2 linked regions of the Arabidopsis thaliana genome follow. The protein of the gene in region 2 purifies or fractionates together with the protein of the main gene of each other region. This does not show direct contact. Each region holds a gene or a part of one and is shown on either strand. Other genes may lie near its edges.

Region 1 (3,752 bases), on a different chromosome or scaffold from region 2:
GCTAAAAAGGGCAGCGAATCTTTTCTATGTTGTTTCTGCAACTGTAGATCCTTTCACAAAACGAATTTCAGCTACAAAAGTCGAAACCGATAAATTCATGAATGAAAGAAGAAAGCCGTCTCCAAAAGACATAACTCGACTAATCTAATCTGATGTACAGTTAATAGTATCAAACACATCCATCATACTACATATCTCAATCAGATTAAAATTCGAACTTTCAATAGAAGCTGAGTAACAAACAAGACCGAATGATCTAATACACGTTACAAGTCTCTGATACATCAGTGACAAAAAGGGGTAGTTTTCACTTTTTCCTCTTTGTACGTCTTCTTTCAGCTTCATTCTCTGCTACCACAACGTGAAACTCTGATCCAAGCATATCATGTATGTCAATATTCTTTGAGTTACTGAGGTTAACAGTCTCCATGATTACTTCTAGTGTCACGGTGAAGCCTAGATTAGACAAGACACGTATCGCATTCCCGATTCTGCATATGGTTTGTCGAGTCTCGAGTGGAATATGGCTTTGCTCTTTTCCTGTGGAGGAGGATGAGATCATTTCCTCATCTTTCTGATCATCTATTGCCATAGGATCTCTCACTTCGACATGTTCTCCAACCCATATGAAACCATTGCAGCCAATAATCAAATCAATCCCAAGACTTTCTACGTAATGAAAGTGATGTTTGCTTCTCTTAACCAAGTAAGGATCGACCTTCAGAAGTTGTCCCTTCTCGAGCTGTAGCGATTCATGGATTAATCAATGTTCAGAGGAAGAGACTAGCGAAAGGTATAACTACATGAGCATGTGACCAAATGAGAACCAACCTTGCCATACTTCTGACTTCTGGCTTGTAACTGCAAGCTACCATCATGCTGAAAGTTGCGTACTTCAGCCTAAGAGTTTGAACAAACCAAAGAGGGAACCCTTTTAGTCAGGTTGACGTAACTGTTAAGATATGTAAAGATTGGAACATTACTAATCACAGGACTTACACATACGACATCATGCTCTACAAAGATATTCCGCATATTGAGTTCATCCACAGAGGTTCTTCGCCTCTGGCAACAACAATAAACTTATATCATTGAAGCCAAAAGCAATCATCCAAATGGCAAAATATCAAGAATCAAACTGTACCTGAATACCATCAGGCATGTTCATGGAAGAAAGCATCAGTACTCCATCCTGATTGAAGTTGAGCTCCACTCTCCAACGTTTTTGAGCAACCTGAATAAGTAAAGATCAATCCAGTAACTGTGCAATGTGATTGAAACCTTTATGTTACTCACTCAATCCGATTTCAAAAATCCAAACACCAAAACAAAAATCTACCTCAATGACACGGCCTACCACAATATCCCCAACTTCAGGCTTGTACCTAAAACGTAGATCATCAAAACCATCAGTTCTACTTAATCTCAGAGTAGAGAGTCCATTCTATTCACATTTTCTGGGAAACTAAACAAATTCAAAGATCAATCACAGACCTGGCTCGCAAGGTGCGTACATAGACAAGCTTATCCACACGCTCCACTACTCCACAGACCGTCGCGAGCAACTCACCATCGACCTCGGAAGTTCCATGTCCCCTTTAATGAAAAAACCAATCGTGAAAACGCAATTTGACAAAAATTTCAATCCAGAAGGGAGAATGAGATGAAATTACTTGAGGAAGGCATCGTCATGGTTGACGGGAATAGAGTCGGTGACGATAACAGAAGCGTCAGAGTTAGCCGACGACGACAGTGATTGAAGCCGCTCGATTGCTCTCTCAAACCTAACCTTCTGCGTCTGGCTCAACGGTAACTGTAGCTTTCTCATCACCATCACAGACACTCTCTCTCTTTCTCTCTATTTAGCTCCAGCAACACAACAATGGCGATGCAAAACGAGTTTGGGACTTGGGAGAGAAGAAGAGCAAAAACCTTGACGTTAGTTCCCTTGAATGAATTCTAGGGTTTTGTGTTATTTGTTGGACTAACATATCCAACTTCTGGCCCATTTATAAAACTTCTGGCCCATTAATCTGATAATTGACGCCAAATAAAGTATTATTTATCTTCATTAAAAAAATGGGAAAAAAATTAGACGTCTCTGCAGCGACAAGCTTCAAGTCTTTTGTGATCTTCCTATTTCTGACGCTAATTCGAATCCTTCACTCTTCAAATTGATTCTTTCACGGATCAAACAAATTATCTGAGAGTACCGATTGGTAAGATCTGAGCTTTACGCTATGAATTTCTTCAAATCCGTCTTCACGGAAGACCTAGATCCTCCAGAAACCGAATCCGAATCCGATTCACCGAAACACAGCGAAGAGCATGAACATCCAGAGCAAGAACATCCAGAGCAATCTGAATCTAACGACGACGGTGGATGGAGCTTCGGTGGTCTGATGAAAACTCTAGCCACCAGATCCGAATCCGTGATTGAAACCTACCGACGAGATCTCGAAGAATTTGGCACAGGTTTGAAGAAAGAGATCGAGGTGGCTCAGGGATCGCTTGGTACGGTGGGACATGCGATTGATGAGCTTGGGAACACGGTGCTAAAAGGTACGGCTGAGATTATTGCTCAAGGTAAGGAAGCGATTTTAGCCGCTGGTAATGAATCTGATTCTTCTGATAACAATAGTAGTCAGAGTTTTGGTCGTCGTGATAGCTTCAGTTCGAAACCATATAGTCGTTTCGATGCTCAGATTCGTGCTGTTCAAGGAGATCTCAACACTTACTGTGAAGAGCCTGAGGATTCAGATGATTACAAAAAGTGGGAATCTGCGTTTTCTCTGGATGGAAAAGCTGAGGAGATGGAGAAATTGTTGGAGGAAAATGGTGATATGAAAGGAGTGTATAAAAGGGTCGTTCCGAGTATGGTTGATCACGAGACCTTCTGGTTTAGGTATTTCTATAGGGTTAACAAGCTCAAGCAAGCTGAGGATTTAAGGGCTAATCTTGTGAAACGAGCCATCTCTCTGGATGATGAAGAAGAATTGAGCTGGGATATTGATGATGAAGAGGAGAGCAGCGAGAAAGTTGTTGAAGCTACCAAAGATGTTTCAAGGTTGAAACTTGAAGGGAATGATGGTATGGGTGGTGGAGATGTGAGTGAAACTGTGAAAGATGAAGTGGAAAGTACATATTCAGTGGCTAAAGTGAGCACGCAAGATGAAGTGACAAGTGCAGATTCAGTGACTGAAGTGAGCAATGTTGGTTTGAAGACAGATAAAGATTCTGAGGAAAAGAAGGAGACTGATAGTGAGGAAGTTCCAGAAGAAAAATCATTTGTTGATGCTGCTCCTCCTGCGTCTGATGAGGCTCCAATCCAAGATTCTGTCAAACCAACATCTGATGAGGCTCCAATCCAAGATTCTGTCAAACCAAAATCTGATGAGGCTGCTCCATCCCAAGACTCAGCTAAACCAGATGTGGCTGCTTCTTCATCAACTCAACAACCATCTGAAGAGGATTTGGGATGGGACGAGATCGAGGATATGAGTAGCATAGATGGTAAGGAAACGAGTCGGTCTGGTGGTAGTCCAAACAGAGCTGAGCTGCGTAAACGTCTGAGTGCTGCAGAGGAAGATGAAGATTTAAGTTGGGACATTGATGAAGATGACGAAGAAGAATCATCATCATCCAAAGCTTAATGTTAGTTTTAAAGTGGTGTGCTTTCTTACTTTTGCCAATCCTTTTACTTGTTTTTACAAGTTTCTGGCGCTTTGCCCCCATTCTTCAGTTGTTTTTCT
Region 2 (3,752 bases):
GTGGGATGTCGCTTCACCTTCTGTAAGCTTCTCTCACAGTTATATGCTTCAACCTACACCATGAAAACAAAGCACAACAAACTATGAGTTGTTGAATATTTTTGGATTCAAAAGAAATATGCTTTGGATTTCAGAAACCTTACTTCTTCTCTAATGATCTTTGTTGTTGCAGCAGCTCTTGAAGAAGCAAGACGCAGGCAATGAAGGATTACACTCTGGTTCACGCCTTCTTCCCCCGGTTTTTGGATTGCGCATATATCGCCATTGGCATTAACTGTCACAGTCATTCTCCCACACATAACTGCTTCTTCAACATAAGTTGGGTCCATCACCTGCATATAACAACACATCACACTTTATATCTCAGAAAAGAAAAAAGAAAAAGCAAACTAGACTCTCACTAAAAATACAACTGTTTTTACCACAATGTTGCCTTTATTAAAAAATCCAAACGTGAAGGCTATTGGGAGATGATGTATTATCAATGGAAGTGGTTCCCTTTCCTGCAAAAGAAAGTAAAGATAGAACAAACAGTTAAAGTTAAGAACTGTCTTCTCCACTTAACAAATTCTTACAAGTTTCTCTAAACCGAAAACATATGACTAACCTCTAGTGGATGTATGATCACTTCTTGACCATTCTCTCCTCCTACAGTGCAGTCGGGTCTCCTAAATGTCATGAGAGCTGCTAAAGCAGCAATATTTGCAGCATCAACTAAGTTCCTATACATAAATGTGTAACAAAAACACGCATTAAAGATCATTTTAAAACCAGAACCTTCAATGAGATATACTGTAGCCAACAAAACTTACCCTCCATTGTCCAAGATATGAAGGTCAATGCGAACAGACCAAACCATCTTTCCAGCTAGAACGCAGAGTGACTCTGTATCTACTGCACGGCTTTCTCTGCAATCAACACAAAGACCAACTTACCATTACTCCAACCAGAACAGCCAGCAATACTCTTGCAGCATCAACAAAGTTTGTCCAAAAAAACATTTACCTTAGACCACGATCGATAATGCGTCCCAACTCCACTGCAGATTCGCCAGGACGACCAGGCTCAAAAGACGGATCAGCCATTGGAGAAAATTCCGTGAAGATCGAGAGAGACCCTTCATTAGGTCTGTCTTTGTAAGGTTGTACCAACTGAGCAGTCACGAAACCCATTACATGAGTCTGACCAAGTTGAACTTCCGAGCTACCATATTCTCTGTTAATTCAAACGAGATTAAAAGCTGTCTTTGGTTACAAACACTAAAAGAAAAGCATGCTAGTATTCGTTCTAACAGAGGTAATAGACTGAACAAAGTTATCTACATTCAAATTTATCACAAAACTCGACAAAGAGGGAAGCTTTAGAGCTAAAGAAAGCAAACAAAGCCTACAAAGTGCAGAAAAGAAACGGCATCAATAAGCAGTTCTATGAGCACTTACTTGCCAAACTTAATAGTAAGCTTGCGATAATCATAAAGGCCACGACCATCTACTCTGAGCTCAGATTGCAACGCAGTTTCCACGAATTTACTTTCGTTAACAGTCAACCTCCACATATTAGCCAATCTCCCCTCCATTATCTGCTATCACTAGTAAACTAAAAATCAAAACTTTGAGCAACCCTTACAGCAAATCAAACACTCTAATCGATAGAAAACCTTCTCTTAGGCTTAGAATCAACTCTGTAAATTAAACCAAAACGTACCTACTGGAGAAAAGAGATGAGAAGAGACACTTGGACTTTCTTCTTTCTTTTATTGTACTTCACCTCCGGCTAACTACGAAGGAGCTCCAAAGATTTTAGGGAGAGGCGGCAAAATCGCACAGATGTTTTTTTCTATCTATCTCTCGGCCTTAACAACAGTAAATGTAAACACGGCGGCGATTCAGAGAAAGCTTGGTGATGGGAAAACACAGGTTTCGGAAAAATTCGAGAGGGTGAATAACTAAAAACGCTGTCGTTCTGGATCAACAAACACCGGCGTCGTTTCAGCTGTTACCGACGTCGTTTCATATATTATTTGTTATTTGACAAAAAAAATTATAATGGATATAAGCCCATGGGCTTACAGACATTATCTTGATGCTTTTTGGGCTACTAACTTCAAAGGGAAAAACGTCAATGAGTTTTTTATTTTATCTTTTTGGTGTAAATGTTAAGAAAGTCAATGAGTAGTATGTTGAACTTTTTAATATCTCAGCAATTGTTGTTTCAGCTTGGAAAGATTAACTTTGACGCACATGTTTGCTTACTTACTGATAAATTGTATTTTAGATTTAGAATATTCAACAAGCCAGTACAGTTTTCAGAATCTTTCCCACAAAATCCTCAAGAATTGAAGATCATGCATGTACACTTACTAGATTTGTATTGCTTGTACGTATTTTATCCTACTTGTTCCAGCAGCACCACTCAAATATATCGTTTTCTGTACTTTCTTCAACATTTGGACTAATTAAGACTTTAAACGATTATTTATTAACAATGAGAGAATTTTGAGCAAGCTTTCAATCCTTCGATCTCTATTTCAAGAATCATCAGCTATTTAAAGTCTTCAACGAGAACTATATTTCTAAAGAAACTATCAAGCGTAAAAGTCTGTTATGAGCAGCCAAAAAAAGTTTACAGATTCCGCGAGATGCCTTGCCTCTTGTGGATCTTTTCGTCACCATGTCTTGGTTTAAGTCACTTAATTAGTGTCTCTTCTTAAGTTCCGTCCTCTTTCCTAAACTTGGAACCACATCGAATTCTTTAAAAAGAGAAAAGAAAAAAAAAACTGCTTATTTGGTAAGGGTCAAGAAGATATGGTTGTATCTTTATGATCATCTTAATTTGGATTGTTTACTATTACTTAATTATGAACAAGAAACATGTTGGGATGAATCTAGAAACTGATAGAACCATGTTTATGTTTGCTTCACGCACACACAAACTACATCATGTAGTCTACATGAACGAGCCGGAGACAGCTTAAATCTTTGATATTGTTTGCCCAATTTTTTTTTAAATTTTGAAATTACATTATAAGTAACTCTCTTAACTTATTTGAATGAAATTAGTTAAGGTTTACTTTCATTATTTCCGATTGGTTTTCAATTGTACGTTTCGCTAATTTTGGTATAACAATTTCAGCTTTCCCCACATGCTCTCCAAATTTCCTTCTTCTTTTTTTCATTTCTTTTGATTGAGATGTAAGAAAAAATGTTTAGTAAGAGTGAACAATATGAATCTCCATTGTTTTCTTCTTCTGCTGTTGCTTTCATTTTTCTTCTTTCTGTTTGCTTATTTTTTCTTTTCCCCCACTTTATTCCAAAGATAAAGATCGCATGTTTTAATATATATATATATATATATATATATACACTTTTATTTTAATTATGTTTTATTTGATAAATTAATTATGTGTACAATTATACTTGGACTAGTCTATGTGCATAATGGAAGGCGCCAAAAGAAGAATTCAGCTCCTTGTAATTTGTAAGCTTTTAATTTATAGTATTGTCCAAAGTCTAAAGGTATTCGTGTGGAAACGGATATGGATATTGTAATGTATCAGCAATAATCATAATCATTTCCCCCAAAAATGAAAAAAAAAATACAAAAGATTAGGTAAGTGTGGGAGCTAAGTATATTACTCACGGCTGAGGAACCCATTATAAAAAAGGATATATATCTATTAATTACTTAGATAAGAATAGTATAAAAAGATTGGCTGCTATCAAGTAGATACTCATGCCACCACTAAACCAATG

What was found.
Region 1: the proteins of CER7 (region 2) and RRP4 fractionate together in Arabidopsis thaliana (co-fractionation; one large-scale study listed by BioGRID). This does not show direct contact.

Annotation. Positions count from the first base shown.
Region 1 is NC_003070.9:822,735-826,486, reverse strand, and holds RRP4 (ribosomal RNA processing 4), read right to left. Parts: upstream 1,971-3,752; 5' UTR 1,835-1,970; coding exon 1,674-1,834; intron 1,597-1,673; coding exon 1,495-1,596; intron 1,386-1,494; coding exon 1,340-1,385; intron 1,235-1,339; coding exon 1,145-1,234; intron 1,066-1,144; coding exon 1,000-1,065; intron 901-999; coding exon 832-900; intron 743-831; coding exon 308-742; 3' UTR 88-307; downstream 1-87. Other genes in the region: AT1G03350 (BSD domain-containing protein), read left to right, coding at 2,241-3,653. UniProt on the Arabidopsis thaliana protein: Non-catalytic component of the RNA exosome complex which has 3'->5' exoribonuclease activity and participates in a multitude of cellular RNA processing, maturation and degradation events.
Region 2 is NC_003074.8:22,352,069-22,355,820, reverse strand, and holds the start of CER7 (3'-5'-exoribonuclease family protein), read right to left. Parts: upstream 1,922-3,752; 5' UTR 1,705-1,921; intron 1,597-1,704; exon of another isoform or gene 1,580-1,596; 5' UTR 1,577-1,579; coding exon 1,440-1,576; intron 1,216-1,439; coding exon 1,006-1,215; intron 909-1,005; coding exon 813-908; intron 723-812; coding exon 608-722; intron 504-607; coding exon 423-503; intron 333-422; coding exon 144-332; intron 54-143; coding exon 1-53. UniProt on the Arabidopsis thaliana protein: Probable 3'->5' exoribonuclease involved in the regulation of cuticular wax biosynthesis by controlling the expression of CER3. May act by degrading a specific mRNA species encoding a negative regulator of CER3 transcription.